Tamandua tetradactyla: one gene and its partners. The protein of the gene in region 3 interacts with the protein of the main gene of each other region in a pairwise test. Links are inferred from orthologs where the notes say so. Each region holds a gene or a part of one and is shown on either strand. Other genes may lie near its edges.

Evidence for each region.
Region 1: the proteins of SAT1 (region 3) and HOXB9 interact in binary tests that used the Homo sapiens proteins (3 or more experiments, as listed by UniProt). The two-hybrid records come from large-scale screens. The link is inferred for Tamandua tetradactyla from reciprocal best matches to the Homo sapiens genes SAT1 and HOXB9.
Region 2: the proteins of SAT1 (region 3) and CASP7 interact in binary tests that used the Homo sapiens proteins (3 or more experiments, as listed by UniProt). The two-hybrid records come from large-scale screens. The link is inferred for Tamandua tetradactyla from reciprocal best matches to the Homo sapiens genes SAT1 and CASP7.
Region 4: the proteins of SAT1 (region 3) and DIPK1B interact in binary tests that used the Homo sapiens proteins (3 or more experiments, as listed by UniProt). The two-hybrid records come from large-scale screens. The link is inferred for Tamandua tetradactyla from reciprocal best matches to the Homo sapiens genes SAT1 and DIPK1B.

Annotation. Positions count from the first base shown.
Region 1 is NC_135332.1:29,880,674-29,888,376, forward strand, and holds the start of HOXB9 (homeobox protein Hox-B9), read right to left. Parts: upstream 3,013-7,703; coding exon 2,496-3,012; intron 1-2,495. UniProt on the Homo sapiens protein: Sequence-specific transcription factor which is part of a developmental regulatory system that provides cells with specific positional identities on the anterior-posterior axis.
Region 2 is NC_135339.1:75,620,141-75,627,332, forward strand, and holds the start of CASP7 (caspase-7), read left to right. Parts: upstream 1-4,186; 5' UTR 4,187-4,506; intron 4,507-4,810; exon of another isoform or gene 4,811-4,942; intron 4,943-5,654; 5' UTR 5,655-5,870; coding exon 5,871-5,882; intron 5,883-7,192. UniProt on the Homo sapiens protein: Thiol protease involved in different programmed cell death processes, such as apoptosis, pyroptosis or granzyme-mediated programmed cell death, by proteolytically cleaving target proteins.
Region 3 is NC_135353.1:150,556,251-150,564,232, forward strand, and holds the start of SAT1 (diamine acetyltransferase 1), read right to left. Parts: upstream 3,005-7,982; 5' UTR 2,805-3,004; coding exon 2,739-2,804; intron 2,428-2,738; coding exon 2,376-2,427; intron 2,278-2,375; coding exon 2,194-2,277; intron 798-2,193; coding exon 696-797; intron 598-695; coding exon 557-597; intron 432-556; coding exon 261-431; 3' UTR 1-260. UniProt on the Homo sapiens protein: Enzyme which catalyzes the acetylation of polyamines. Substrate specificity: norspermidine = spermidine >> spermine > N(1)-acetylspermine. This highly regulated enzyme allows a fine attenuation of the intracellular concentration of polyamines.
Region 4 is NC_135328.1:126,292,898-126,300,537, forward strand, and holds the start of DIPK1B (divergent protein kinase domain 1B), read left to right. Parts: upstream 1-4,631; 5' UTR 4,632-4,645; coding exon 4,646-4,708; intron 4,709-7,640.

The DNA of each region.
Region 1 (7,703 bases), on a different chromosome or scaffold from region 3:
ATCCCAGGTCCAGATATGGGAGATGAGAGAAGGGGTTGAGGGGAGCTTTCTGTTCAGCCACAACCAAGAGACCTCCAAGTCCCTCAGTCCACATACAACCTTGCCTAGATCACCAGGGTGCTTGGCCACATGGCAGCAGGCGTTGTGTCTGTGTAGACACCTCCCCCCGACATACACACCGCAAATATAAGTCCACAGTTAGAGACGCAAACATCCAGCACACTCCAATTCACAAGCAACCCAATTGCAACCATTTATCAATTCCAGTCTATGGGCCAGGGAGCACCAGGGACTCACAGATAACTTATGGTTGTAATAGTCTTTCCTCTTCCATGCCTGCTCAGCTCGCAGTTTGGTTAATACAAGTTCAGGGAAATTGGGGAGCAAGATTGCTCCATTCCCAAGATGGGGAGCCAGGGATGATAGGGAGTTAAGAGAAAGCTCTTCACATCCCACCTAGCCTTAACTGGCCCCAAGTTGGGGGGGGGGTTGCGCAGAGAAAGGGGTAATTGAATGGAGGAGGGGAAGAAAGGAAGAAGTAAAAATTGTACAGACTTCTTGTTCTTACCTTCTTCCCTTCCTTGGAACTGAGAATATTCTCCAATTAAAAACCAAGCCAATTAAAAATAACAGCCACCCTCTGTTAGCTTCCTTCTCCCCAAATGAAAAGCATTGACTATTTAAAAAAGTAATAATAACCCGGTTCATCCTACACTAAGTACCGTGTCTTACCAATTTGCAGCGCTATTTCCTTAATGTGATTGTCTGGGATGGGACCCGCAGTCACATTAAATATGAAAGAGGGGGGAAAATCTGTTAATAATTGATCCTAGCCAAGCAGTTGCCTTGCAATAATGGGCTTTCCAGGCAGAGTTCCGGGGTTTGAGGTGTGGGGTCTGTTCCCGTGCGTGCGGGAGGATTTGGGAAGAGCCGCATCCCCCCAAAAGCCAGCTCTTGTGATTCAACCTGGCAGGTGTGAGGAGGCAGGACCCTGCGGGGATCTCAGGGAACTGGACAGTCCTCCCCTACAGCAGGCAAGGACTCCACAAAGAGCCAGTGGCCACTGTGTCACTGGGAAATCTGGCAGGGCAAGTGGAGGCTAAAATATCTGCCTCTCACTGCCCAAGAAGAGTAAAGGGTTGACTTGTGCCCTCCAGCCTGCGGGTTATTGTTCAAAGCTGAGTCCCTAACTGATGTGCCTTTCTTTTTTTTTTTTTTTTTTTTTTTTTTTTTTTTTTTTTTTTTTTCTTTCCTGTCAGGGAGTGTAGGCGCTGACTGACATGGCATAGAAATTCCGGGCTATCTCATCTAAGTGGAGAGGGGAGGAGTTCAGAGGGGCAGTTGGAATGGCTGAAAATTTTTGCTGATGTGCCTTTCTTAACCTTAAAAAAAAAGAAAAGAAAAGAACCGCGATTTCCCCTCTCTGTGAGCACCACTTCCTGGAAATTAGCCAGACTTGGGGTCCCGGCAGGGGTGCTCTTGGCGGAGTGGGAGGTGACGAGAAACTACCAAACTACCGACAGAGGATAAAGTTCTTCGCCTCTGCCTCTCGGCATCGCGTCTTCCTCTCCACCCCTCCTTTCCCCAGGGGCCCTTCGGGATCTCTTCTCCTTCACTCCCGCGGTCAGCCCCGAAGTTCCGAAGCGATTCCCCCACTCCCCGCAAAACGGACAGCCCCGGTTGGGGCCAGGGAGCCCCGTGGACAGCAGCCGGGGCCGCAGAAAGAAAAGCGGCCACCCGGGCGAGGATGCCGAGGAGGGGAGGGGGCGACCGGAGGGAAGGCTCCTGGGGAGGGGCCGGCGCATCCAGGGAGAGGGCTCAGTCACTGCGTCCTGGATTGCCCCCGCCCCTCTCGGCGCCGGCTCGGGACCCGCTCGGCTACTGCGCAAGATCTGCTCTGAACAATCCTCGGCCAAGCTGTTGCATCGCAAATAAAATCCTAATGAGCCCCCTCCCCCTTCCCCTTGGCCGGCTTTTACGGTCTGCGCGTGGCGCAGCGAGCTCCGCCAGCGGCGCGGTCCCGAGCAGCTCCCCTGTTCCCTCCCTCGCCGCGCGGATTCTCGCCCTCGCTGGCAGACCGCCCCGGCCCCCGCCAGTTCCTCTGCCGACCGTCGCCGGCCTCCTCCCGGGCTTTCAGCTGGGGCCTCCGGGAGAGAGGGGGAAGGGAGGGCGAGAGAGCAGCGAGTTGGTCCCCGCGCCCCAGTTCCCTCCAGGACTTGGAAGAGTGGGGGCGGTGCCCCTCAAGTGGCCTCGGTCTCTCTTCTGGGGCGCCCAGCTTCCTCCCTGCCCGCTTTTTTCTATTCTTCCTCCTCCCCTCCCTTCCTTCCTACCTGCCTGCCTTCCTTCCTTCCCCCCATTTCCCTCCTCCCCCGCTCGCTCTCCGGCCACCGCCGCGTTTTCCTTCACATTGTCCGCAGTTTATTGCCTCTCCCCTCCCCTCCCCTCCCCCTGGCCTGGCCTTCGGCCTGGGTATTTCCTCACTTTTTATAACTTACTTTGATCCGGCCTTTCTTTGTCCTCGCTTCCTTCGCAAATTTTATTGTCCCCGTAGTTGGGTCTTTGATTAGACAGGACAGCCTCCCTGCCCGCCGAAGTTTCCAAACTGTACTCGGGTGTGCCCTGTTTGAGCAGCTCCCCAGGCGCGCCCAGCAGCGGCTCCGCCTTCACGGCTGCCTGGCCCTGCCCCGGGGCAGCCTCGCCGCGCGGCGCGGGCTCCAGCCAGGTGCGGAGGTACCTGCTCTCGGCCGGCGGGACGCCCTGGGGCTGGATGTAGGGGTGGTAGACGGACGGCAGGCTTCCGGATGCGTGCGGGCTCAGCGGCGCCCAGGAGGCGCCGAACACCGGCGCTTTGGGCTGGAAGCTGCACGAGGGGAACTCCAGGTGCTCGGCGTGGCCCGGCTGCCGCGGGCTCGCGTACTGGCCGGAAGGAAACTTGGCTGGAGGCGCGTCCTCACTCTCGTGACTTATGATCGAGTCGACATAATAGCTGCTAAGCGTCCCAGAAATGGACATTCTCAGACATTATCCGGGCGCTCGCAGGGGGAAGGGAAGCGCTCGCGCGGCGGCGCCCAAGCAGGGAGAGGTGGCACCCGGACCGGTGTGAGGGCTTTCGGACGCGACCCCCCCCCAGCCCCCCACCCTCCCACCCCCACCCCCTGATCAACTTCTCAGCCAACAAAGTACAGTGGAGCAGCCTGGCTCAGCGCTCCTTGCAAAATGATTGGTCAAAGTTTTTCCGACTGCCTGATAAAGCGTCAGCTCCGACATAAATCAATCGGGCGAGGGGGCTGCGCTCTCGCTGTCATCCGTCCGCACCGCATTCCATATCGAGGATGGATTGTTTTATGCTGATGCAATGTGCTATCACGTCAGGGCTCCGGCGGACACGTAACCTCAGCCCGAGCTGCCGGCCTCCTGGTTGCCACCCAACCCCACCCCCCTTTCCAGGAAGGGGGGGGCAGTTCTCGACATGGGGCGGCGGGGGCGGAGGAGAGGCGGAGGGAAAGCAGCGGGCTGCCTCGGGAGGGACGCAGGCTGTGGAGCCCTCTCCCCAGGCGGGTCGGGTAGGGAGGAACGGAGGGAGGGAGCGCAGGGGCTAGAGGGAGGGAGAGAGCCCGAGCCAGAGGAGCAGCCAGAGAAGCCCGTCAGGATAATTAAAGAGGAGGTGGTCTCGCCCCCCCCTCCATCCCGCAGGCCCGCGTTTCCTCTCCTCTGTCCCCTTGACATAAGATGTTTATTAAACAACAGCAGCAGCAGCAGCAATCCACTAGAGATGAAGTAAAGGGGATGGGGGAGAAGTTGAGATTTTATGGGACTTTATCAGCTTTGGAGGGAGCTCTCTGTGCACTATTTTTGGACGTTTGCAGGCCTTGCTCTCAGCACTTTCCCTGACCCCTCAGTAGCTGAGGGAGGAGAGAGGGGAATAAAAAGGGGTGGGTGCCCGGGATCCGCTATCTATCCTGAAATTAGAACCTGACTGAGGTTAAAGGGATTCATCAAGGCCTGGAAACTTGAGCCTCCAAAGAGTTTAATACAACTAGCCAAACGCTCCTTTAAATCTCTTGGGCCAGTCTCTGACGCTGGCCAGAGGGATGGACGGGGGGCGTGGGGCCCAGCCGTTTCTCTCTTCCTTAACTGAGTAACTGCCAGAACCGAAAATTGCCCAGATGGTGGAGCTGAACGTGAGAAAGGGTTAAGGGGACCTCCCCGAGGTGTCACTTGAGTGGAGCCATGGGAAAGGGCACCCAGCCAGCATGGGAAGGGGTCCCGAGTTATCCCCACCGCTACCCAGTGAGGAAAGGCAGAAGGCCGAGTTTTTGGTTCGCTTGCCCTGGCGGGGATGCAGCTCCGAACCGATTTATAAATACCCGTATACGCACCAGCGGTAGATAAGGAGTATGGCTGGGTCACAGCCTCTGCCCTCCTGCCGCCTGGGCGCCCGCGGACCCCCTTCGTGGTGCTTTCAAATAACGGGTTTTATTGGCATCTACTATGCGGCCCTGTGCTCGGACTCCACTGAGGACACCGGCTGACTTCCTGGCTCATCTCCCAGCCATTTTCTCTCCCAGCCCCTGCTCTGGTGCACCGCCTCTTAAGGTTAGGGGTGTATGGGAGGCGCAGTCCCTGGACAGACCCAGTTCCCCTCGGCTGGGTTGAAAGGTTGGGTTGGGACTCATTTTCTTTCGCAGTTCTCTGACCTTGGGCTGTTACACGGAAGGCAGCTCCCAAAGCCCCAGCCTTACTCCCAGCCCCGTCCCTTTAACAAAACCAGGGGCCATTCTAACTTGGGGCTGCATCTTTTTTGGCCACGTACCCCTCGGCCATGCAGAAAGCTGCAGATCACCTCCGCACACGCACAGACGCATTCCCGCCAGCTTTTCTTTCCAAATGAAGCCATCTCGTGTCATTATGTGTGAAATACGAGGGCGAAGCGCCATATTTCTTCACATTATGGCGATTTCAAAATGATTTTTTAAAGATCAATGCCGGCACCCAGCCGGCCCCCTCCTTTTTCACCCCCGCTCTCCGAGGGCGATAGCCCAGCAGATCCAGAACCAAACAGCGTGAAGATCTGTTTTTTTTTTCCATGGGACTCAAGTGGGGAAACAAAAAATCCATGCAAATTCTTCTAAGTAGCGGTTGGATGCTTGGGAAAGTCGGGGGAGCTCCCCAGATCTGCCAGCGAGAAAGCTGGGCGCAGAACGAATGAATCACAGTTAAGGCAAAGCACCTGTTCTTGATTTGCCAGACGCATGGAGTCAGCTGTCGGCATTACCTGTAATAAATATATCCTTTAGGAAGAAAAAAAATCCACCCCCCATAAATAACGGTGTTATGAAGCATGGCGGGCTGAGTATATGATTTTCTGTAGTATATAAATTAGGGCCCAAAAGGACATGTGAACTGTGGGTTGGTCCTTTTTTATTTATGGAAAAGTCACAGCACTGGGCTGTTCTTAGGACCAAAGCTGGGCAGGCACTGGGCTCTGACAGCCACTCTCTGAGTCCCCAGCCCTTGCTTCCCAGCCACCTCTTTTTGTAATAAGGGGAGCCAAGAAAGCCACTTAGTTTAGGGAAGTGGTTAGAAGAGAAGGACGTTTCGGCTTAGGGCTTGTGACCTACCAGGGAGAAATGTTCCAGCAGACAGATTTCAGATTTTGTGGGCTTCTGACTGCCCAGGGAGTTGCCCCTAACCTCTGATGGTTCCTGTGTGTTGAGTGAGGAAGGAATCCTGGCTTCTCTTCTGAGACCAGAGTTTAGCCTCTGCACAAGCAGAAGCTGGCTGGTGGAAACAATTTCAGAATAATAGGTTTTGAAGGTCTCAGTCTTCTCGGGAGAGGTGACTGGAGGGAAGAGAATTAACTGCCCCCAAGCCCTAGAATCTGCCCTCTCCCCCCACTCCCAGTTCATCTCCCTCCAGGTGGGGCTGCAGATGCACCAAGTAATGTTTCCCAGCCCAACCAGGCCTCCTAAAATGCACTGCTGCCTGAAGCTGGTGCTCAGCTCCATCTCTGGCAAATATTTTAATGGATAGGCTGAGAAGGAGGCTCTTTCCTGGGGTGCTCTGGGGGCCTGTGGACCCCCCTCCCCAAAGATATTGTTTTCTCCCCAGACAATGGTATCTGTCATGATAGAAGGGGGAACAGGATTGCAGCCTCTAGAGCCTGACTTCTAAAGTTGCTTAAGCGAGGGGGTCACTTCCATGGGGGTCACCATGCCATCTCCACCCCACCCCCACCCCACCCCCAGTCCTAAAGAGGAGAGAAGGAAAACCCTGCCTTCCCTCCCAGCCTCTTGCCATTTCCTGCGCAGCAGCCGCGCCTGAGCACAACTGGAGCTAATAGCTCAGGGAAGGACAGGAAGGGAAAAGCTACATTCCCTGGTCTCACTGGGGCCCAGAGCAGCCAAAAGCAAAGCCGAGGTGGGGAGAGCAGAGGCGGACCCCGGCCAGGACAAGCTGGTGAGTGACTGAGGTGGGGCGGCTTTCGGAAGGGTTCTTGTCACTACTCGGGAAGAAAGAGAAAATCTAGAGGAAAGGAAGATGAAAGAGAGAAGAAAAATGGAAAACAAGAGTAATAAATGGGAAAAAGGAGAAAATAGCTTGTTTTTAATTAATATGTTAACCTGAAATTTAAGCATACTGTATTTGAATAGATGTGTGCGTCCTGTGCATATGTTTCAAATAAATATTTCTTTATGGGGAACCAGTGTGCAAAGGCACTGTGTTCTACATTATGCAGAGAATACATAATAAATAAATCTACCCAACTATAATACTGGACGTGCTTGAGCATCCGTTTATGAGACCTAATCATCCATATAACCCCTGTGAATGATGTGGGTTTACAATTCTGCTCATATATAATCTATAACCCAAAGAACTTGTTTGTCCATTTTTATAACCATAACACCTATGGAGAGAACAAGAAACTTAGGTATATGTGTATTTGAATTGCGCCTGTAAAATCTTAGTTGATTTGAAGCCTCACTTGAAAATCTGGCCCTTGGCTTGATAATCAAGTGGGATATACACTGTAACCTTGAAAAATACATGTAACAAATCTGGATTTGATTCAACTTCTTCTCCAAACATTTCTTCAGATGGTGAAGGAAATATATTGGCCCAGAAGAGGTCATGAAATTTCATGACTTTTTTTTGGCCGAACATGACATCTTTTTCCGTACGTTCTTACCCAAAACTGCCGGGACCGTTCACATCGGTTGATCCTCATTTCAGGGTAATGATGGGCACGGGGGTTTAGGTACTGTAACCTGTTCATGCGTGTGTCCCACACAAGTGTGGAGGAGAGACGGGGAGAAACAAGCCGGTGTGCAAACCCTCGCATAACTGTGTCATGCAAAATCACCCCTGGGTACAAAAAATTAGAAAAGTCCCCAAATCTATGTTCCCAAGCACCCAGAGTTATTTCTTTTGACCCAAGACTAGTGTCCAGACCCACTTTGGAAAGGAGCAAGGTGTGGGGACACTTGTTCCACGGAGAGGAAATCAAGTCCCCCAAACCCTCAGCCTTCACACAAATAGCCTCCAAAACAGGGATTACATCGAATCTGCACACCAGTTCAAACTTCGGTTCTTCCACACTTCCTGAGTGGGGGTGTTAACTGTAAAGTAATGAAATCTGCCAAACCTCCCTCCCAGGATGTCAGAGGTGAAAGGAAGGACGGAGAAGTCAGCAGCCCAAG
Region 2 (7,192 bases), on a different chromosome or scaffold from region 3:
AGGGTCACAGCAGAGGCTGGGCTGGAAGCAGTAGCCAAAGGCCCTAAGACGGGTGAAGCCAAGCAGATCTAAAGTAGTCCCTGAATGGCATCCAATACATTGTCCCATCAGCAAGAGTCCAGGACTGGGCTTGGCGGTGATGAGCCAGAACCAGACCACATGGAGGCTTATCTGTCCTTGATCTGGATGATTCTGCCAACACAACCCCAGGTCACCTTGACTGATAAACCTTGACTCATAAGGAGCTGGTCATCGATGAATCTACACACAGCTTTTCATCTCATTATTATATTCAGTATATAGACAATCAGTTTCCTTTTTAAACTGAAAAACAGCATTCCTTATTTAACTTGCTTAAATCTCCTCTTGTTGATGGTGACCCTCTTGCTTTAGCAGGCCAAGATATTTTGTACCTTGGTTCTGTCATCTGGGGGATGAGCTCATTCTTCTCGGGTCTGAATCACTTCCAGGGCCCACTAGGGCAGTGAATGTGAAACAGTTGTGAAATTACATAGAGATGACAAATGGCAAGTGAGGGAAAAGGTAGTATCAATAAAGGGTCTGTTCTGACCTAATTACTGCTGAGGGCAGCTGAGGGTTCACTCTCACTGGGACCCTCTGCTGAATCACGTAGAATGTCCCACCAAAGGATGGCAAGCTGGAGCACCTGTCCACCCACTCCCCTCTACCCTTGGTTGAGGGTTCATTCCCTGCATCTGTAGGGAGCCCCTGGTTGCTCAGGCTGAAGAAACCTCTGCAGCTCTGGAGAAAGCCCAGAGATAGGGAAGCAGAGAGGAGGGGCTGGCAACATGCATGGAGCTAAACACAGTGAGCCTAGGGGATGTGGCATGGGGTACCCCAAGAGTCACTCAGAGAAACTGTGACTGTGGTGCCGAGAAAGTGTTTATATGAGAGGCACTATGATGGCATCAATTGCCGGAGGCTCCTTCAAGCCTCTGCTTTCACGCCTTTGGACAGGAGACTTCAGGAAGCAATGTCCTAGCTCTTCCCCAGGTCAGACGGCCCCACCCACCCTCGTTTTCTCTCTTTGGGGCTTACAGGACTCCTGGGGAAGATTGCTGGAGAATGTTTGCCTGGGGTTAGAGGAACGGAGTGAAGTTCCATGAGCACCTGCAGACGGGGGCAGTGGCTGAGGGTGGTGGGGTGTCAGTGGTTTCAGAGCTCAGCTCCCTGCAGCAGTGAGGCCGAGATGCTGGCAATGATAATCAAGCAAGTATCTACTCATCTATTACTCCGATGAATCCCTGAATGTTGGTGAAGTTACCTAATGCCCACACCTCACTCTGAGATGTTAAACAATTTGTTTGCTAATAGGATTCAACAAGGACTCTGCCCAGGAAAGTTAGAGAAATATTTTCCCTCCCCTGAAACCTAAATCTGGTTTGAGACCACCTTTTAGTTAAAAATTACTCTTTGCTTTGGAGTTGTGATTGTCCTTTTCTGCCTAATATAGGAGTCGTCAAAAGGCTTTGCAGACCACCTACAGTCTCTGTCACATCTTATTTCTCTCTTTTTTTTCTACTCTTTAAAAATGCAAAAACCATTCTTGGCATGTGTGCTGTACAAATACAGACCATGGGCAGCCCCCAGGGCAGAGTTTGCCAACCTCTGTTTCTAAGGGATTGTTCACAGGAGCCAGTGGAATGCCCAGACCTGATATTTTCTTGGGGAGGGAGAGGAAAGACAAAGGTAGAGAAAGGAATAGGACTTAGTTAAGTCTAATGGAGCGATTCAAGTCTGAATAGCTCAGACCTTGGGGGATGTAATCCAGTCCCTGAGGTTGCCTTTTCCTGGGCCAGGGGACCACAACAAACCATGTGGGTGGAGTGGAGGTTTCTGTACAAATTAAGAAATAGATATTCCCACTGCTGAGGCCATAGAGTGAGAAATGAGACAGCCTATAGACTGGGGTATACAAGTGGACTGTATTTACCTGTAGTACAGTCAGCAGAAAGAACCCACACAGTCATTTGAACAGGGAAAAGTTGATATAAAAAATTACTAACTAGGCCGGTGCAAGGGTAGTTCAGTGGTAGAATTCTCGCCTACCATGCTGGAGATTCCCGGACCATGGACTTCCCTCCCACCAAAAAATAAATAAATAAATAATAAAATTAAAAAAATTACTAACTATAACAGAGGATTGGAATATCAAGATATTGGCTAGTAAGAAGTAAAAAGAACACCAAAAAAATAGGAATTCCAGATATAATATAAAACATAACATAAAATAATATAATATAGTTAATGCAAGATAAAATATAATATAACCACTAACCCCTGGAACTGAGATAGAGGGCCCAAAGAAGACACCCTCCCTCCCTACCCCCACCCCCACCCCACCTCCTTTTCCCAGGTCTGAGATCCAAACCTTGCTGTAGAAGGCAGAGAAGTCACTGTGGTACTGTGCCAGCGGAACTTGCTAGAAATATGTCCTCTGGAACTTTCCAGGTATTCGCCCTCTAGGTGTCAGCGAGAGCTATCCTCACTGGAAGCACTCTGCCACAAAACCACCTGCGAGGGGTGCCTGAGGAAGTTGCTGGCTGCTGGGTGTGGCCAGGTGTTGCTGGCCACTAGGCACAACAGGACCTGGACACTGGAGAAGCCACTTGTGCTGCAGGAACTGGGCGCTGGGGCAGCTACTCCTGATGCACGAGCACCGTGCTGCAGGAGGAGACCAGGAAGGAAAACCTCTTCCTCCCGCAATGTCTCTCCAGCGCCCTCTACTGGAAACAGGCTTTGGCTGAAAGGAAAAATCCTTAAAGGGCCCAGTTACATTTTCACAGCCAGGAAAAAAGGATGCATTTGGAGCCAAGAGGCTCCAAATAATTAATGACAGATTAATGACAGATATAACAGGAATGCCTCCTTTCAGGGAAGAAAAGGATTCTGCTGGACCCTAAGTGGGGAAGATACCTCCTTGGTGGGACTTTCATTCCCATCTGGGCTCATAGAGGCTTTCTGGTGACCCCCAAGGGCCAGAGTTTGGATTTAAGAGTGATATTTCTGGGGATCTTGGTGGAGTCACGTATAAAGTCACAGCTGGGCTTGAACTGTCCTGTGGAAACTGTGAGTAGCAATCCCTGGTAGCACCACTTGGGGGTGCTGTGCCCAGTAGGGCAGGAGTGGGGGACTCACCAGAATTAAGGGCAATATCCTGGTGAGCAAAAAGTGGAGGGGCCCTTGTGAGGCCAAGTCTCAGGAAACCATCAGAATAGTGAGGGAAGAGAAAAGGCTCATGTTATAATCATGTAAATATAAAAAGGAGAAGATAATTAATTGGCCTAAGAATGGAGAGACACGGAAGATGCATTTAGAAGAGAATATCATACGGATCAAAACTATCAGTTCAATTATTATTGAGGGAAAAGTTTCAAATAATTTCTTCCCTTCCACGTTTCCGTAATTTTATTTGCTACGGCTATAATCCAGACTCAGACCAATAACTTTGGCGTTCCTCACCCCAGTCTACAATAAAAACCTGAGAAAAGAAAGTTTTCCTTCAATCCACCTTTCCAATTGGGCCAGCAATGAATTCCTGTGTTAACATATTTTAACATTCGCATGCTGAAAGTAATTTATTTGCTTTATTAATAGCATTTTTCATTTCTCAAATGATTCACAACTGAATTCCTTTGAAAAGCTCATTATCTTAGTGCCTAAAATGGTTCCAAAATTTCAGGAAATGGGTATTAAATAAAAAGCAGTGCAGCAATCATTAGAAACGGCATAGCTGCATGTAAATATATTCAGGAATTCAGAATTTTCACAGAAGTTAATTATAACTAATTACTCCCTTGCACTTACCTAGGCCAGTCTTTCTTCAAACCAAGAAAGTGCCCTTGGTGAGATTTTAGAGACAACAGTGAAGTCTCAGTCCTAGGAGAAAGCAGGCAGAGACAAGACCTGGTTTTTGCCTGAAGTCCACCATGAAGGCTGAGCTCCTTTGGTTCAGGGCTTTGATGGTTCTTTAAAAGCCAATCTCTCCGGTACGAATAAAACTACAATTTCTTCCCAGATAGTTACACTTCAGTGCCTGAGGTAATTAATTGTTCCTCTGAGGGATTTGGGAAAGACATTAGAGGGCTCCAACGAAAACCCAGGGGTGAAGAAGGACGCGTGTGTGTTTGCGCGTGCGCGCGTGCGCTGAGGAGGGGTAGCGGGGTGTCGGGGCAGGGGTGAGGTGTTTCAGTGGAAGCCCCTGTCCCTCTCATTCTTGACTTCCTCAGGGCCACATACCCAGTGCCTGACACATGAGGGCGCTCCATAAATACTTCGTGAATGAGCCTGGCTGCACCGCGCGCCGAGCGCGCTGTAAAGCGAGGGTTGGGACTTGCTTAAGAGAAAGCTGAGTTAGCATCCTTGCGCCCACGCGCGAAGGAGGGCACACCGGCGAGTGGAAACAAAGTCCCGGAAGCCGGACACCACAGCACACCCCCGGCGGGCCGGAGGGGTCTCGGCCTAGGGAGAAAGTAACTCAGGCAGGTATGCACGCGGAGCCTCACCCTACCGGGACCGGAGCCGCACGGGCTGGGGTCAAGGGTCTGGTTGGACAAGAGCTAATGACTGCGAGAGCTAGGGCCCCGCGCTGTGCAGAGGCCCCGGGTGGAGGTCTCAGACAAGGGGGCAGCCGTGGGACGTGGCGCTGTGGCATGGGGAGGCGCGCGGCCGAGTCTGCAGGGCCTGCTGCCCCTTCGCGTGGCCCGGGCCACTTCGCGCGCGACCGAGCTTTGCGGGGCGCACTCTCCCGAACCGCAGGCGGCGCCCGCAGCCCCGCCCGGTTTCTCGTCCTGCCCGGGGCGGCCCCTCCTTCTGCGGCGCTGGGGATTTTACTTTCATTTTCGGTAGAGCGGCCCCAGACCCTCGCTCCAGAGGGACGAGGAGGCTGCGAGCTCCGGCCGTCGGGACCGTCGTGGGAAAGGTAACTGCGCCTCCCGCCTCCTCCCGCCTCGGCCCGCGCCTCTCCGCGGCGCGCTTCCTCCCTGGCTTTCCCGCGGGGTTTCTTGCACTTCCCCCGCCGCTCAGTGCGCCGGGTGGGGGGAAGGCGGCCCCGACGGTAGGCGCTGAAGCTTCGGGGAAGGAATCTTCCGCGCTGCGGCGTCGCGTACTTTGTTAGCGGATCCTCCTTTTCCTCCTGGCCGGGGACTTGGGACACCCCGTACGCTCGGGATCTGGAAGAGGAGGAGCTGGTTATCTGTCAGGGCGGTTAACAGCGAGGGCTCCGGGGTCAGAAAAGCCTAGGTTCCAGTCCCCTGACCCTCCCTGTGCTTCGTAAGACTGGTGATCCCGGGCTGATGCGGAAGGATGTGATTTGGTGCATTGCTAAGTGCACTCCAACTACTGCCATTGTTGGGTAACCTTTCTGCAGGGCCCATGGAGGTGTCTTGGGGAGGTGAGAAAAGGCAGGCGATATGGACACTCAGGCTGCAGGGGACCTTGGAGGTGTATGGACACTCAGCCTGCAGGGGACCTTGCAACCCTTACGGTTGTATTCAGCTGTGCGGTTTTATTGGGCAGGAAAATTGCCTCTGGGTAGTTCCAGATTAGTCATTCCCATTCCTTTTCCTTGGATTTAAGAGCAGCCCACAGTGGCCTTTAACCTTTATTTACTAACAGGTGGTTTCCCCCTTCAGGACCTTCTAGACAGCTCAGGCCTGACCTTCCTTCTCCGTGCTGCTGCTCCTAGATTCATAGTCCATCTTTGGCCACCGGTTAACTGTGTGGCTTTGAGCCAGTCGCTTAACCTCTCTGAACCTCTCTGAAGAAACCGAGGGGTAAAGGCTACAGTCTTCTAGTTGTGATGAGGATCAAGGAGACAGTGGAGCATTTGCCTGCCCAGCAGCCCTCCCATGGTGCTAGAGGTGAGAGGAGGAGATCTTCAGGGCCTCTATTCTTGAGCCCTTTTGGGAAGATTGCCTTCATTGGATCAGGAAATGGGATGCAAATCATATTATATGACCTTTCAGGAGAAGCAGCTGCAATGAGCCCATCCCCTGTCTCTATTTTATATATATATGTATAAACTTCGCTTCTCTGTAGCCAAGTCCAAATGGCTAGGAAGGATGTATATAAGCTATGCCCATGCTTTAATAGACCATTTCAGACACTGGGCCTGGAGCATGCCCTGCCTTCCAACTCCAGACAGTGACTGGGAAATGATTTCCTACCCACAATAAATACTGGCTGCCCCAACATGTGGGCAGTTATGAAGCATATCCCACTCACCACTCCTGGGGTCTCAACCACCCTCCTGGGTTTCTTTTAGTTCTTTTGTCTGCTCTGAGTCAGCAGTTTATTCAAGACATTGAAGGATTTACAAATACATTCCAGGTATAAGATTTATGAGGTAGTATGTATTGAGTGCCTGCCCTGGATCGGGCACTTTTCCATGACTGGGGATAAGAAAGATGGTTAAGATAAACATTCATTCTGCAAAGAGCTACAAACCTAATGGATAAATAGTGGTGTTAAAAATAGCAGCAATAACTGAGTGCATACTATGTGCCTGCCACTGTTAGAGTTTTATGTATAGCATGGTCATTCATTTCTAGAGAAGAGGGATGGGTTGATTATCAAATAAGTTATCCTCCAGTGACTACTTTTTGAGGCATGGACCCTAAGAAGGGGATAGATACAGAAAATGACACCAGATGAGGTCCCCTGCAACATGGTAGAACTGAGAAAGGCCTAAATTTTCTTGGTGTTTTATGAGAATGAGCAGAAATAAAGGGTCAAAAGCAGATCTTGGTTCTCGCAGCCTCTTCCTTCTTGGCTAAAATGATGTGACCGACATCAGGCACCCTACTCGGTCACCATCCTGGGCTCTGAATGTCCTTTGTTTCCAAAAAGCACACCTGGTCTCATAGGAATGAGAAAATGAATGCTTAGTTTCACAGATTTAAAAGAATAAAGTACCCCCACTATGGAGCTGTTTTAGAAATTCTCTCTGGCACATTGTTGGAAGGAAAGCTTTCTGCGCACACACACACACCCCCGCCCTCCCCCAGACAGTTTTCAGTGTCAACCTAAAGAGATGCTGTAGGTTTTAAACAGAAGATTCTTAGAGCCTTGAGTTTGGAGGGAAAGTTCTGGAAAGCCTCCTACCATTTGAGCCATTATAATCAGCCTGAACTTTGCTTCTCTGTAGCCAAGTCCAAATGGGTAGGAAGGA
Region 3 (7,982 bases):
GTGAAGTTTTTTTCATATATATTAAGATCACACCACCTTGTTTAATCAAAAGATGTTCAAGGAAAACTATGACTCCAAACTGCATACACAATTGCCATTTTAAACAGACTGCATTTCAAACATGCAACAACGCCACTGGTAATAAAGCTTTGGAATGGGTGCTCATTCTATTACTCTACTACAAACAGGATAGAAAGCAAGACAGGTTGAAAATTTATTCTAAGTAGAATGGAACTTGTCATTGTCTACATTAGCACTCCTCACTCCTCTGTTGCCATTTTTAGTAAGTACTCCTTGTCAATTTTGAAGAGTCGCCATCCTTCCTCACTGGACAGATCAGAAGCACCTCTTCTTTTGTAAAAGTTGATAGATGGTTCATTCCATTCTGCCACCAAGAAGTGCATGCTGCTGCAGCGACATTTCATCGCAACCTATTATAAGAGAGAGTAATATAGAAACTCAGTGACATCTTATCTGCTCTCCAAGACCCAATTTTGATTCAGTCATTAAAATAATCCAGTAACCCTTAATTTGGAAACCCAAAACTAAGACATACCTGGCTTAGATTCTTTAGAATTTCTGATCCAATGCCAAAACCTAAAAGAAAGAATACAATTTTAAAGTCATTTTAAGGACTTAAAGCCCTAAATTTCCCCTTAGAACTGCCCCTGACCCAGCCCCAAACTCAACCATACCTCTATAATCACTCATTACGAAGAAGTCCTCAAGATATAATAGCTTGCCAATCCATGGGTCATATGTAAAATAGTACATGGCAAAACCAACAATGTTGTGTCCTGCAATTAAGAGTATCATATGAGTAATGGAGAAGAAAAATAATCCATCAAAGTTGTAGCTGCAAAATTAGAAGCCTATCATAGGTATAAAAAAACATACATGCATAAATACTGAAGAGTAGCCACTGAAATGGACTGTCTTTTAACTTTTATACTAGTGCAGTCCGGGCCACTGTTGGATGATCTCACTGTTTTCATAACATGTATTTGCAAAAGCACACATTAAAGCTAGTTGAAGCCAGGCTAGGTCAGGGAACTAGCCACTCTGAGATCTGCTGGATCTCACTCAGGAAGTGAGAGTGCTTTAATTACTTGCCAGAGCTAAACTGCTAGGGTCTTAAACGAAACACACACATTATTTACATCCCACTGATATACTGGTATGTTGACTTGAAGTAAGTCAGATTTACACGGCAGTTCAGAATAGTAAATACTTGTACTTTTCGAAACTCTGCTTCCTTAAGGTCAGAACATCAGGCCAAAAACTCAACGTTTTCATTTCCAAACTTGCCTTCCAATTCACACATTTTCAATTTGTTCTCCCCAGTTTTGAGGCCAGAAGCAGCAGTGGTACCCAGAAAAAGCTGCTTTGACATTCACATCTAAAAAGTACTTCATCCCTCCTATTTTCTGCTCATTTCTTCTAGCTTGGGGAACAAACTTCAGAAAACATTTAAGAAAGCTTCCACCCAAAGAACTTCCCCTTTTTAGCTCTGTCTTGTGACCAGTTAACAGGGACCAGCAACAAAACAAAACAAAACAAAACATCTGACTCCCTCTTATGGGTGTCTATAACTCCAAAGGGAGGCAAAGGTTTCAAATTAAAACTTTCTAGCCATTTTATATTCCTTTGCAAGCACAGGAAGCAAGTGTAATGGAGTTTCTGATCTACCGTGTTTTAAGTGTGTGATAATAGGACCTTACCTCATTTATCATGATCATCTACTTTATTGTGTAAAGGATCTTTTAGTTACCTCCCCGCCCATCCATGTACACGGAAGGGCCATGTACATGGCGAAGCTAGAGACTGTAACCTGAAGATTGGGACAAATTAAAGAAAAAAATGTGATTTAACACAATTACAAAAAAAGGTTACGTTAGGGTCAAACAAGAACCATTTTATGAAACGGAATTACAACAAATGACATTATACCTAACTTTTGCGGGTTTCCGCAGTGCTCTGATACTTAAACAGCTCTTTCACCCGCCCTATTATTAAGTGCAGCACATCTCCGGTTTTTTTTTTTCTTTTCTTTTTTCCTCAACACTGGCTGGCTATTATTCCTAACCGACTTATCAATAAGTAACTCGACCTGTGTAGTCAGTGGCTCTACATAGCAGGCGCTACGTTTTACACAACACTCGGTCTCTGACTGGCAAGGGGTTGGGTGGATACCTTCCGGGGTCCAGTACTCTTTGGGCACTTCTGCAACCAGGCAGTGGTAGAAGGGGTGCTCTCCGAAACCATCCTCTAGCAGATCTGCAAGAAAAAAGGGGCAGCAGGGACAGTGTTGGCCTCGGCGAGGGTGCCCGGCACTGGGCGTTCGTCTCCTCCCCTCCTCCCCACTGCCGTGTTACCTTTTTCAGTTAATAGTACTTGCTCTTCCATGTATTCATATTTAGCCAGTTCCTGGGGCGAGGCAGAAAAGAGAAAGGGAGAGATGCAGAAAACAAAGTGAGGCTCCGGCCAATTCGGGGAGGGGCGGATCAAGTCGAGGGAGGGCGGACGACCAGTGAATGAGGCGGGGATGGGAGGGGTGGCGATTCGTCCCCCTGAGTCCTGCCGGGCCAGGACTGGGGGAGGTGGGCGGAGAATGGGGCAGCACTGGCTGGACACCAGCCCAGGCTGGGAAACGCGGACCCTCCCGGAAACGGAGCGACGCCCCCCCTCGGCCCCCGCCTCAACCCTCGCCCCGGGAGGCGTCCCTGGCCTCCCGCTACCTTGATCAGCCGCAGGATGTCACTGCAGTCGGCGGCGGTGGCCGGGCGAATCACGAATTTAGCCATTTTCGTCTTTTGCTTCTCTTTCCTTTGCGGACCAGGCCCCTGTACTTGAACAGCAGGAGGAGGTGGTTCCTCATTCGTCTCCCGGGAGCTTCCTCTTTCTAGTCAGGCTGGCACCATGACCCAGCGAACCAAGGTAGCGGCGGGGGAGCTTCCGCGAAGCTGCGACTTGAAACTGCGCGTCCCGGCAGTGAACCAGCAGAGCTTTTGAGCGCGAGGAAGCCCCGCCCAGGGCCGTGAGGCGAAGGCACCTCGTCCAATGAGACCGCGGTCGGCCCCTCGGCCCCGCCCCCCATCCGCCTCTCCCGCTTCCCTGGGGCACCGTTCCCTTTTCCCGGCATCGCCCTGGTGTCTGGAGGACCGTGTGAACGCCGCAGGCCTGAGCGGGGGTGGCGGCGGAGGGGTGGTGAAAGGATTGCTTGGCGGCGCCCTCTAGTGGTGCCGTGTGTTACCTTCCCCGAGACCCGACCACGGGGTTCGTGCGCCCCGGGGTAACCTTTGCAAAAGTGAAGAAAGGAATTCACCCTGTCGCCCCCAACCTTCTTTGCAGTCGGTGAAGCAAACCCAAGAGACCTGGCCTTGGGTAGTTGGAGAAGAATTAAAGCACGGCACTCAAAGTGTGGTCCCGGGACGATGACAAAACTATTTTCATAGTAATAGAAAGACGTCATTTGCTTTTTGTTACTCTCACTGGAATTTCCCCGGCGCCACCTGATCTGTTGTAGTCATACCTTTGATGACTAAAGGAATGGGTGCTTGTATAATCTTGTGTTTTCTAGAAATTTCTAAGGTAAGCTATTTGGGTTCCTCAGTCATTGTTTTCTTATACTTGTAAATTTTTTTTAGAGTTAACAAAATGGTTTCATTCTTACCCCCCCCTTTTATTCCTTCTTAAATCTCTGACCTTCCCGCTGGAAACACTTTCGTTCTCCCTCAGGTAAATTCTTTATATTTCCTTTCGAACGTTGTCTTTTGTCAGACTTTCACAGTTTTGTCTAAATATGTCTTTAATTCATCTTAAAATTCTAGAAGGATTTTTTGGTCACTGCTTATAGAATTTGAGGTTAGATGTTATTTTCTTTCAACATAGTGATATATCATTGGACTATTTTCTGCCTTCCATTGCTGTTGAAAAGTGCGTTGTCACTCTTTTAAAATTAATACCTGTTTTTTTTTCCTGCTGAGTATTTTTGTGTCTTTTATTTGTATCTGGTGTTCTTCAGTTTCTCTCTGATGGATGTTGGAATAGATCTTTAGAAATTAAATTTTTCTTTGGATTCATTAAGTTTTTTGAATCGACTGACTAGTGTCTTTTATTAATTTTGGAAAATTCTTAGGCAGTAACTCTTCCTATATTACCTCTACTCCATTTCTCTCTCCTTCTGTAACTGCAGTTAAAAATATGTAATCCTATATTTAGGAAATAAACTTTATTTCATCCTCTGTGCGTCTTTAATTTTTTTTAACTTTCTGTTTCAAAACAAGTATAAATTCACAGCTGTTTGATGTCATCAGCACTCTGATAACTAAGGAATATGTGCTTGCATATTCTTCTTATGTTTTCTAGAATTTTCAAAGGTAAGCTCTTTGGGGCCCTCAGGTTTTAAATGCCATGGTAGCAAAATGTTTGAGAACCCCTGGACTAGTGTGTGCTGGTTTGAAAGGAAGTATGCCCCCTAAGAAAAAGCCATGTTTTGATATAAATCCCATTTCTTAATGGTAGAATAATCCCTATTCAATATTGTATATTTGAAACTGTAATGAGATCATCTCCCTGGTTGATGTGATTTAGTTAAGAATGGTTGTTAAACTGGATTAGGGGATGACATGTCTCCACCCATTTGAGTGGGCCTTGATTAGTTTCTGAAATCCTATAAAAGAGGAAACATTTTGGAGAATGAGAGATTCAGAGAGATTCAGAGAGAGCAACACTACAAAGCAGAGAGCCCACCAGCCAGCGACCTTTGGAGATGAAGAAGGAAGACACCTCCCAGGGAGCTTCATGAAATAGGAAGCCAGAAGAGAAAGCTAGCAGATGATGCCGTGTTTGCCATGTGCCCTTCCAGCTGAGAGAGAAACCCTGAACTTCATCGGCCTTCTTGAACCAAGGTATCTTTCCCTAGATGCCCTTGATTGGGCATTTCTTTAGACTTGCTCTAATTGGGACATTTTCTTGGCCTTAGAACTGTAAACTAGCAACTCATTAAATTCACCTTTTTAAAAGCCATTCTGTTTCTGGTATATTGCATTCCAGCAGCTAGCAAACTAGAACATAGTGCATCGTTTTCTTCTGGGTTGTACTCACTGAACAAGAATGCGAGCCTCTGCAGAATGAGTTTTCTTTTACACACCCACCTTTCCAAGCAGACCCTGCTGAGAGGCCTGTTCCAGCAGCCCTGCCTGGGCTCAGCCATGAGTTAAAGGATGATTTTCGCAATGAGAAAAATCATAAAAGGGGCCTGCAGTGTCTTCAGTCTGTAGGATGACAGGGCAGACTATTACTAAGTGACCACCCTAACATGCAAGAAGTGATTCTCTGCCTTTGCTAGCAATAATCTGCATGTAGAAAAGGCAAAAATATGTTCTCATCCTACCCTCCCAGGATTGCACGCCCAGTGAATCACCATGGGAATTTGTGACATGTCTTTCTCAAAATTCTTTAAAAATAGGATTGATTCTCATCTGCCTAAACTACTGCTGGTAGGATCTTTCCTGACACTATGGGCTACACCTCATGGATGACCATTCAGAAGCCCTTTCCTCCTCTGCTTCTGTCTAAAATATTATAGGATTTAGGGGAACTTACTACAGATTTACTGATAACAGTGAGTTAGACCTCCATGACTAAGCACTAATGATGGCTGCCTAGTTGGAGCAAAAAAAGACCATTTCCTATTTGGGTTGTTTAGTATTTTAGAATAGTGTTTGTCTTATTAAAATGCATTCTTATTTCTTTTAATGTATTTTGTTTTTCCAGTTTAAGTTTCATGCTCTTATGCATCGCTTTGTCCTTATGACAAGAAAAGCCCATTCTGAGAAACACGTGGCTAAAAAAATCCCATCGTGAGTGTGTCTGTGCATCTGTAGAAGCTTAGAATCCTAAGTAATTTGAATTTTCTTCGTGGCAGTGATTCAAGTTGTGCTTTTGAGATTTTTAGATTAATTTCATCATAGATAGCAGCAGTAGGGATGAACCATTACTCCCTCTTGATACCAGGATTTATATTGAAACCTGCATAAAAAGGGATTAACTACCAAGCATTTGGAAAACTTTTATTTGGTTAATAAGTCCACGAATCAACAGGTTTTAATGAGCACATATCAGACTTGTGCTAGGTACTTTGAAGTTATAGAGGATTACTAAGTTTTGAATCCAGTCCTCAGGGTATACAGTTTAATTTTGGAGACATGTGTGTAATTTACTACAACAAAACTTAATCTTCGTGAGGAAAAGAACTGTAACTGAGGAGGACCTAGTGAGGGGAGAGTACAAAGGGATGGAAAAACACCTAAGCACTTTTCTAGGCATTTTGCATTCATTGTCTTATTTGATCCTTACAACTATCTTGTGAAGTAGGTAAAGTTATCTCCATTTTTGCCGTTGAAAAATACAGGCTTAGTGGGGTCAAGAAGTTGTCAAAGCCAGGAAGTGGAAGAGCTAGAAAAGAAGGAACTCTGTTCATTTTGATGCCAAAGTGAAACTGTCCAGCCTGCTCCATTAAATTATTGTGGAAAGTGTCATATTTTTCTTTATGTTATAAAAGTAATGCATACTGATTTTTAAATTTTGAGATATGTAGAAATACAAAAGGCTTACAAAAATTAATCTGTATAATTGGTTGATTTTCTTCCAGGCTTCTTTTCTAAGCACAAGGCTGATATTCAGGTAGTATATACAGTATGGTGGATATAAAATGGCCATAAATTCATTGTAACTCCTCTCATCAAGAGGTGGAGTGTATTTTCCCACCCCTTGCTTTGGACTAGCTCTGTGACTTGCTTTGACGAAGAGAATGCAGTAGATGTGGTATTGCATAGCTTCTAAGCAAGGCCTCAAGAGATCTTAGAGCCACTGCTCACACCCTTTCAGAATATTGCTGCCATATGAAGAAGTTTGAACTAACGTCCTTGAGGATGAAAGACCCAAAAGAGAAAGGGGTCCAGCTGAGCTAGTACCAAGTGCCGTAAGTATAAGTAAGGCCATCTTGGACCATTCAGTTCCTTCTTTTTCTGCCATACTAGTGCACTCAGCTCTGCCTTCCAAAAAGTACTTACTGAGTCAACTAGTATTTGACCTCATACTAAAGGTTGTCATTCTAAGTCACTTGCTTGGATGTGAGACTTTGCTCTCCCTTTCAGATTATGAGTATGTACTCTCTCTATGAGGGGAGAATGTATGTGATGAGCTTTGGATCATTTCAAAGTATTAGGACAGCTCTTAGCTCAGAAGTAATGACGGTATTGTGATGCCCCAAATTCGGTGACTGGATGTTCAGAGAGGAATCCCCCATGAACAGAAAGTCCTGTGGCCTCTGTAATTCTCCTTCTGTGAAGGAGTTTGTATGGGAGCAGCTTCTGGCAGTCTCTTAGGATAGTAGGGATCTCTTAACCACTACAGGCTTGGAATCAGACACTCCCTACCCCTGTGATGGTGTCAGGTTACTTAAGCTTCTTGAGTCACCATTTCTTCATCTGTAATGAAGAGTAAATAATAATAATGCACCTATTTCATACAGTTAATTGTAAGGATTAAATGTGGTAATACGTATAAGCAGCACCTGGCATAATTGTGACATTATAGGGTATTTTCCCATGTCATTGGGTATATATTTAAAATTTAGGAAAAATTTAATGGCTGCTTAGAGTCCATTGTGTACAGTTTATTTTACCATTCTATTGTTAAAAATTCAGTTTTGCGTTTTTTCAGTGATTAAGTGATGCTTTGATGAGCATCTTTCCACCCAAATTTTGGCCCCGGTTTCTAATTGCTTTCTTATGTAGATTTTTTGAGGTGAAATTACTGGGTCAGAAAAGATACATTATTGTTGTTCACGAGTCAGAGAAATACCCTAATTCAAGTCATCACTACATGAAAGTGTAGCATTGAGGTGACTTACCAGATGTGTACACTCCAGTTTGAATTAAGAAAAAAAATTTTTAATAGATTCATCCATACAGTTC
Region 4 (7,640 bases), on a different chromosome or scaffold from region 3:
ATTATGCAGCTTTAAGACAGAATAAACTTACGAAGCATGTAATAACATGGATGAACCTAGAGAACATTATGCTGAGTGAGTCTAGCCAAAAACTAAAGGACAAATACTGTATGGTCCCACTGATGTGAACCGACATTTGAGAATAAACTTGGAATATGTCATTGGTAACAGAGTCCAGCAGGAGTTAGAAACAGGGTAAGATAATGGGTAATTGGAGCTGAAGGGATACAGACTGTGCAACAGGACTAGATACAAAAACTCAAAAATGGACAGCACAATAATACCTAATTGTAATGTAATTATGTTAAAACACTGAATGAAGCTGCATCTGAGCTATAGTTTTGTTTGCTTGTGTCTTTTGTTTTTTTCTTTTTCCTTTTTTATATATATTTATTAATTATTATTATTTTTATTTTTTTCTCTATATTAACATTCTATATCTTTTTCTGTTGTTTTGCTAGTTCTTTTCCTAAATCGATGCAAATGTACTAAGAAATGATGATCATACATCTATGTGATGATATTAAGAATTACTGATTGCATATGTAGAATGGAATGATTTCTAAATGTTGTGTTAATTTCTTTTTTTTAAATTAATTAAAAAAAAAAAAAGTAAAGAAAGAATCATCCACAGATGCGGAAACCAGCGTCAGAAACAAGCTTTTTCCATAGTGTGAAAGATATGTTTTAAATACAAAGGGGCAAAAAAGTCTTTTCCTTCCAGATTGAGCAGAGACACAACTTAGCTATGGCCACCAGACACAGGTTCATTTCTGTGACATCCCTACCCCAAATGCACACACTTAATCTAATCACGGATGAGCAGCAGGCCAAATCGAAGGGCATGCTATGAAACAACTGGCCCATAATCCCCCAAAACGTCAGGGTCATGACATTTTGCGAAAGCTGGAGGTACTGTCCCAGGGTGGAGGAAGCTTTGGGGACTTCATGCAGTCCTGGACCGAAAAACAAAGAAACAAACAAAAAAGTGTTTTCTTTTGTTGTGAAAGATGTCAGAGGAATTCTGATGAGGAATTCTGAACATCTGTGGGTTAGACAAAATATTGCATCAATCTTCATTCCTGGTTTGGAGCACCATGCAGTGTCATGGTGACAAATATCCTTGTTTTAAGGAAACAGATATTGATGCCTTTGGAAGTGACAGGGCTTTGTGGTGGCAACTTACTCTCATATGTTCCTGAAAAAAGAACTAGAGAGAATGATAAAGCAAATATGGTAAGATGCCACAATTGGGGAAAGTGGGTGAAAGGAACATAGAAATTATTTGTGTTGTTTTGCAGCCTTTCTCTAAGTCTGAAATTTTTTCCAATTAAAAGGTAAAAACAGACAGCCTAGGGGTAGGGGAGGTGGGGAGACTGATGGAAGCAATCAGCACCAGGCACAGAAACATCTGGCTTGCAGCCTTCCCAAGTATTCCAGGGAGGGTTGGAATTCCCTGCAGGCTTGGGGGCTGTGGGGGTGCAGCGGCTGGGGAGGGAGCCCAGGGGGGGGCCAAGTTTACAGAGGAGAAGTCTGAGCCCCAGACCTGGGCCACAGGTGGGCCAGGGAGGGGGTACCAGGTTCCCTCTTCCGAGGTCCCCTCCTAGACCTCAGGCAGGGGACAATGCCCCCTCAGAGACACCCACACCCTCATTCTCACGACCTGGGAATATGGCGAAAGGGGTTTTGCAGGGGCCCCCGAGGCTTTTGACTTAGAGGTGGTGGGACATCCTGGGAGAAAGAGAGGTCGGAGGGACAGGAAACATGAGCAACTTGGCTGGCCGCCGCTGGGTTTGCACGCAGAGAAAGGGGGGTCACAAGCCAAGGGAGACGGGGGCCCTTTAGAAATGAGCCACCCCAGCCAACAGCCAGCAAGGAAGTGGGGCCCCGCGGCCACAAGGAAGTGGATTCCGCCAATGCCCTGGAGGAGCATGAGAGCGATTCACCACCCTGAGCCTCAGAAAGGACCAGGGCCCCACGAACATCCTGATTTTGGCTTGTGACATCCCAAGCAGAGACTCCAGCTCAGCGAACCCCACTTCTGGCCTACAGGAGTCTGCGATACTACACTTGTGTTGGGTTAAACAGCTAAGTTTGCACTACCTTGTAACAGTAGCAATAGAAAATGGATACAGTTATCTTGCCGAAGTGGGTGCAACAGTTTCCTGGGGCTGCCAGCCCTGCAGAGAAGTGGTGAGGAGGCTCGGCAGACATCCATTCTCCCCCAGCTCTGGAGGCCAGAAGACGAGATGCCGGGGCTGGGGGGAGGGGAGCGGGTTCCCTGTGAAACCTTCAGGGAGAAGCCTTTTCCTCTTTGGGTACTCCTGTGTGACCTCATCTTAACTGGTCCCATCTTCAAAGACCCAACTTCCAAAGGTCGCGCTCATGGGACTAGGGTGAGGTCTTGAGTGTGTCTTTTCAGGGTACAATTCAAGCCACAACAGTGGATCTCCCATGCTCCCCAGATGGTTCTGGAATGAGCGGCTCCTATTCCGGAACCACTGGGCCATCCTCCAGGCTCTGCTATCTATTTCTGTTTGTTTGTTTTGGTTTTTCTTTTTGCATGGGCATGCACTGGGAATCAAACCCGGGTCTCCGGCATGGCAGGCAAGAATTCTGCCTGCTGAGCCACCATGGCCTGCCCCGGGCTCTGCTATTTTTCTGGGCGGAGTAGGGCGCAGCCTGCCTGCCCACCACCCACCCTCTGTCGGGGTCCTAGAACGGGCAGGGCCGCTCACCACCATGCCCAGAGGCCCAGTCTTGGGACGCTTCCCCCCTCCCCCCCCACCGAGTCCCCTGCACTCCTGGCAGAGGGATAGAAGCCACTGGCTTCTCACACACACCGTGAGCTGCCTGCAGCCTGTAAGTGCTGGGCCTGGGGCTGTCCTGCTTTCCAGGTCTCCCACATCCTCCAAGGCTCGATGGCTCAAGAGAAGCTGCCAAGGGTGGGCCCACGGTGGCTCAGTGGCAGAGTTCTCGCCTGCCATGCCGGAGACCCAGGTTCGTTTCCCAGTGCCTGTCCATGCAAAAAAAAGAGAAGCTGTCGAACACCAGCAACCAGACTGGCCCAGAGAAATGCCAGGGCCAAAGGGCAGCCCTGTCTAGGGGCAGTGCAGGGAGCCCAGTGCAGCTCCCCCCAACCCCCAGCCCCATGCTCCCCTCCCCTGGCCAGCGGGTGTTTCCCCCAGTGACCCTGGAAGAATCCCAGGCTTGGCTCCCAGCGCTGGGGAAATAATCTATTGATAGGGCAGGCCTGGCATAGGGAGGCTGGCACCATGACAAAGAGGCACGGGGGCCTCCATTCCTGGTCTGTTTCATGGAGTGTGTGTGTGGGGGGATCCTCAGACCCCAGGCCCAGAGGTGGGCTTTGTGTCTGCCCTTTGCGAGGGCAACTCCCGGCCCTGCCTTCCCTCCCCTCCCCTCCCCTCCCCTCCCCAGACCTGGTTTCCAGAGAAGCATCAGCAAATGGGATTGGCTGGGTTGGAGAGGTCAGGAGCCCCCTTGGGCTGGGCCTACTGTCTGGATGGGGGGGACAGTCACTCCTGCCCCTGGTGAGACAGAGTACCACCCCAGGTCTGGGGAGGCAGCCTTGACCCTGGACTGTCCCTCCCCCACCCCAATGCCCATCTCCTTCCCAGCCCTCCATCCTCACTGGAGAGTCGCCCTGAACCCCCTGACCACTTCAATTGCTCCTTTCGCCTCCATCCCCACCTGGAAAGGTGGCCTGGGCTCCCTAACAGTCCCCAGGCAGCCCAGCCTCTGTTACCCATTCACAGCCTGCTCCTTGCACCGCCATCTCACGGTACCATTTGTCACAAAACACCCATCACTGTTTGCCAAGGACCGGAGGGGAGGGCCTGGCTAGAAGGGGGCCCTGGGGCGCATATTTTCGGTGAAGGGAAGGTCCCTGTCCTGACAGGGATAGGGTGGTCTGCAAACACTTGGGAACTTTAAAGTAAGAAGGAGCATTTTTCTGCCTGCCAAGGACGTCTTAACAGAAAGGACGGGGGAAAATGCGCGCACCCGCAGGCGTCCACTGTCCCTCCACCCCGGCTCAGGAGCGGAGCCAGGCCTGCGGCTCCATCCAACAGGCTACCCTCCCAGGCTGCCGCCAAGCGCCCTTCCCTCGCCCCAGTGCCCCGCAGGCGGTCCCTGCTCATCCGTCCTCCCCCACACCCACCACCGCGTCCCTCTCCCCACAGGGGCCGCCGGGGCCATCTGGAAATGTCCTAAGGGGCGAGGGGCTGTCACGCGCTGGCGGAGCTCCTCCCTCTCCTCTCCCGCGGGGACAGAGCTGGGGCGTGCGGAGCCCGGGAAGCGCGGGGAGCCGAGGCCGGGCACCTCCCTCTGGCTGAGTCCCTCCCGCGCGCGCCCCCGCCTAGCGGTCGGCCGACAGAAAGGCGCGCGCGCCGCCTTTAACGCAGGCGGGGGCGCGCGGGGGCGGCGGGGGCGCACACAGCCCGCTCGGGCTCGGAGGCGGCGCGGCTCCCGGGCGGCGGGAGCTGGCACCGGCCCGCATGGCCAGGGCGCCGTGGCCGTTGCGGCTGGGCCGGGGCTGAGCAGGGCCGACGGGACCGAGCTGGGCCGAGCGGGGCCGTGCGGGGTGAGCCCCGGGCCCCGCCGCAGCCCCCGGCCCGCGCCCACCATGCGGCGGCTGCGGCGCCTGGCGCACCTGGTGCTCTTCTGCCCGTTCTCCAAAGGCCTGCAGGTAACGGGGCGCCCGGCCCCGCCCTCTCTGGCCCGGAGCTCCCCACCCCCACCCGCCCCACCTCCCCGCCCCCTCCAGCCGCCGGCCCCCCACCCGGGCCGTGCGCCCCCGGCAGTGCAGGCCCGGGTCCCTATTGCGGCGCGCTCGGGCCGCGCCGGAGACCCCAGTGGTTTCGGCAGCCGTGGGGGTGGGGCCCGGCGGGGCCGGGGGTCACTGGTGTCAGGACAAAAGGGGTTAATGAGGGCTGGGTGTGGGGTAGGGCGTTGGGAGACGGCTCGGGATTCCGGGTGCCTAGGGGTGGTTGGGGAGGGGGGGGGGATGCCGCCTGCGGATGCTGCGATGGCACGTCCCTGCCCCTGGGCGAAAGGAAGCCCCCCCCCCCCACCTCAGCAGGGCTGGACCCTGCTTCCTGAGGCCCCACACCATAAAAAAGAAGTTATTGCCTATATTCCCTGCTTAAGAAAACAAGGTTTTTAAAAAAAGGCCCTAAGAAGGACCTAGCAACCCCGGCTCCATCATCTGACCCGGCTTCCCCCCAGCTGACAGTGTGCAAGAGTCTGCCTTGCCCCCCACCCCACGGTGACCTTGAGCAAGTCACCTTCCCTCTGGAGGCCTGGCTTCTGACTGCCCCAGGGTTCCAGCACCAGGACTCTTGCTACCCTGTGCTTTGGGGTGATCCCAGAAGGGGCCCTCCCATGCCCTACAGGCTCAGGGCCTGCCATGAAGGAACCAGCTCTGGTCGAGCCCACCCACCTTCTCAGGCAGCCAGGGCTGTCCTGGGGTCAGGGCAGGAAGGGCCCTCCTGGACTCATGGCCTTTGCCCAGGACCCACCTGGCCTCACAAGGGAGGCAGGTGTGGGGCCCCGTGTGTGCCATGACTTCCTGCCCGCAGTGGAAGGCTGGTGCCAGGTCACTGAAGGTCCTCCCGCCCTCCCCACACCTGCTCCGCCCCCCACCCCCTGCCCGCACCTCCCCCCCTCCCCCCACCCCCCCACCCCTTACCGAGATGAAAGGGAAGGATGGTTAAGTGTCGCCGGGGCACAGTGGGGTCCACCCAGGCCTGGCAGGGCAGGAGAGGAATTGGGGTGTGGGGGTGTGGCGGTGGGGTTCCTAGTGGAGGTAGGCCAGCTGGGAGAGCCCTGGGTGAGCCCCACGCACCCTCCCTGGTGACCTTCAGAAATGCTCTGAGCCTGTTTCTCTGTCTGCGAAACGCCCTTCTGGCCTGGTGGTAAAGGTCCAAGGCCATGTGCCTGGGGGGGCCCCTGGCCCATGGTCCGAGGTCCCTGAGCGGTAGGTATTGTCCGCGGGGTCTCGGCCAGGAGCTGGTTCCATCCAGCCTGCTGCAGAGCCCTGGGGGGCCCAGGCTACCAGCACCAGCAGTGGCCCCCCCAACCTCCAGTCAACCCGACCACGGGGGGGGGGGGGGGCGTCAGGAACCTGGTGGGTGGGGTGGGCAGCACCCTGCGAGCACCAAGGGGGCGTGAGCCCAGTGATAAGACGGAGCTGGGTGGACCAGCACCCTGTGGGTGGGGGGTGGGCAGTGCTGGGTGGGGCTCCTGGGGGAGTGCCCCTGTGGGACAGACACCTGGAGGGGAAGTCCGAGCCAGCCGGGTGGGGATGGTATTCCAATATTCTAGGCAGATGGCTCTGGACCCCCAGCCCCACCTTTTGGACCCCCCCCACGAGGTTCCCACCACCTCCCACTGCAGCCTCTGGGCATTGTTCCCCACCAGCCGGAAGTCCGACCTCATCCTGCCAAATGCCCCCCCCAACCCTCACCCCCCTTTTCTCTGCTTTCCTGTTTTTTATTATGAACAATTCTGATGGAAACAGAAGAGGGGCCGGGGACTAGAGGGCCCGAGGAGGTCCGAGGGGGGCTGAGCCTCACCCATCGCTGCCACTGAGGCACCCCTGGCCCAAGGCCGCCCAAGCCCTTTCCCTGGCTGGTGGGGTCCTCCCCGGGCCCTCCCAGGGCAGCCAGCAGTGTGAGTGGGGTTGGGGCAGCAGGAGGGGGACATGTCCTGAAAGAACCTATGAAAGTGATCACAGCCACGGGGTGGGTAGGGCCGATAGGCCCTTTGTCGGCCCTGTGGGGTCCCCCAGACTCCTGCCTGGCCCTGCAGCTAATAAGGACGGAGCAAGACTAGAGCCCAAGCCTCTGACCCCGCACAGCTGCCCAGCTCCATTGAGGCTGAGGTCCCAGCAGGGATCTGCTGGCCAGGCCCCCAACAATCAGCCACGGGGCATAGGGGGGCTTCTCAGGGGCTAGCTGTGCAGCTGTGATCCTGCCCTCCTGCCCTGGGCTGGTTCCTTTTCTCTGGGACCCTGCTGGGGGTCCCGGAGGGCTGAGCCTTTGCTAGGGACCAGCCAGTGATGCCTCAGACCTCTCTGATTTGCCAGAGCACAGAGGGTGGGGCAGGGGGGCTCCCAGTAGGCCCCTGGCTGTACCGTTGGAATTGGGCGCTGGGATGGAGACAGTGCCCCCAGCCCATCCACACCAAGAGTTGTCACTCTACATGACAGGTGGGGAAACCGAGGGCAGGGTCTGAGCCCTTCAGGAACCTGGAGACTCCAGTGAAAACACAGGCTCCCAGACCCCCTTCCTGGATACCTGGGTGGCCCTCAGAGGCTCCGGGGCCACAGGTTTCTGGCGCTGGTCCAGCCGGAACATTCTTCCAGGCTGCAGCACAATGAGAGAAGCGCAGACTGTGTCACGGGGTGTGCAGACCCTCCCGACCGGCCCTGCTTGCTTGACTTCAAGAAATACTTTTATTAGCAAAGTAGAGAGCTGGCACCTTCTGTAGCCCTCACTTGAAATCTATTTGTACTTGTCCGTGAAATCCAGATGTCTGGGAGGCGCCAGATACTGCTTCGAGGCCCTGGGACCCTGTGGGTTCCCCGGTTCCAGGCTGACACCCATCCCCCACCTGTA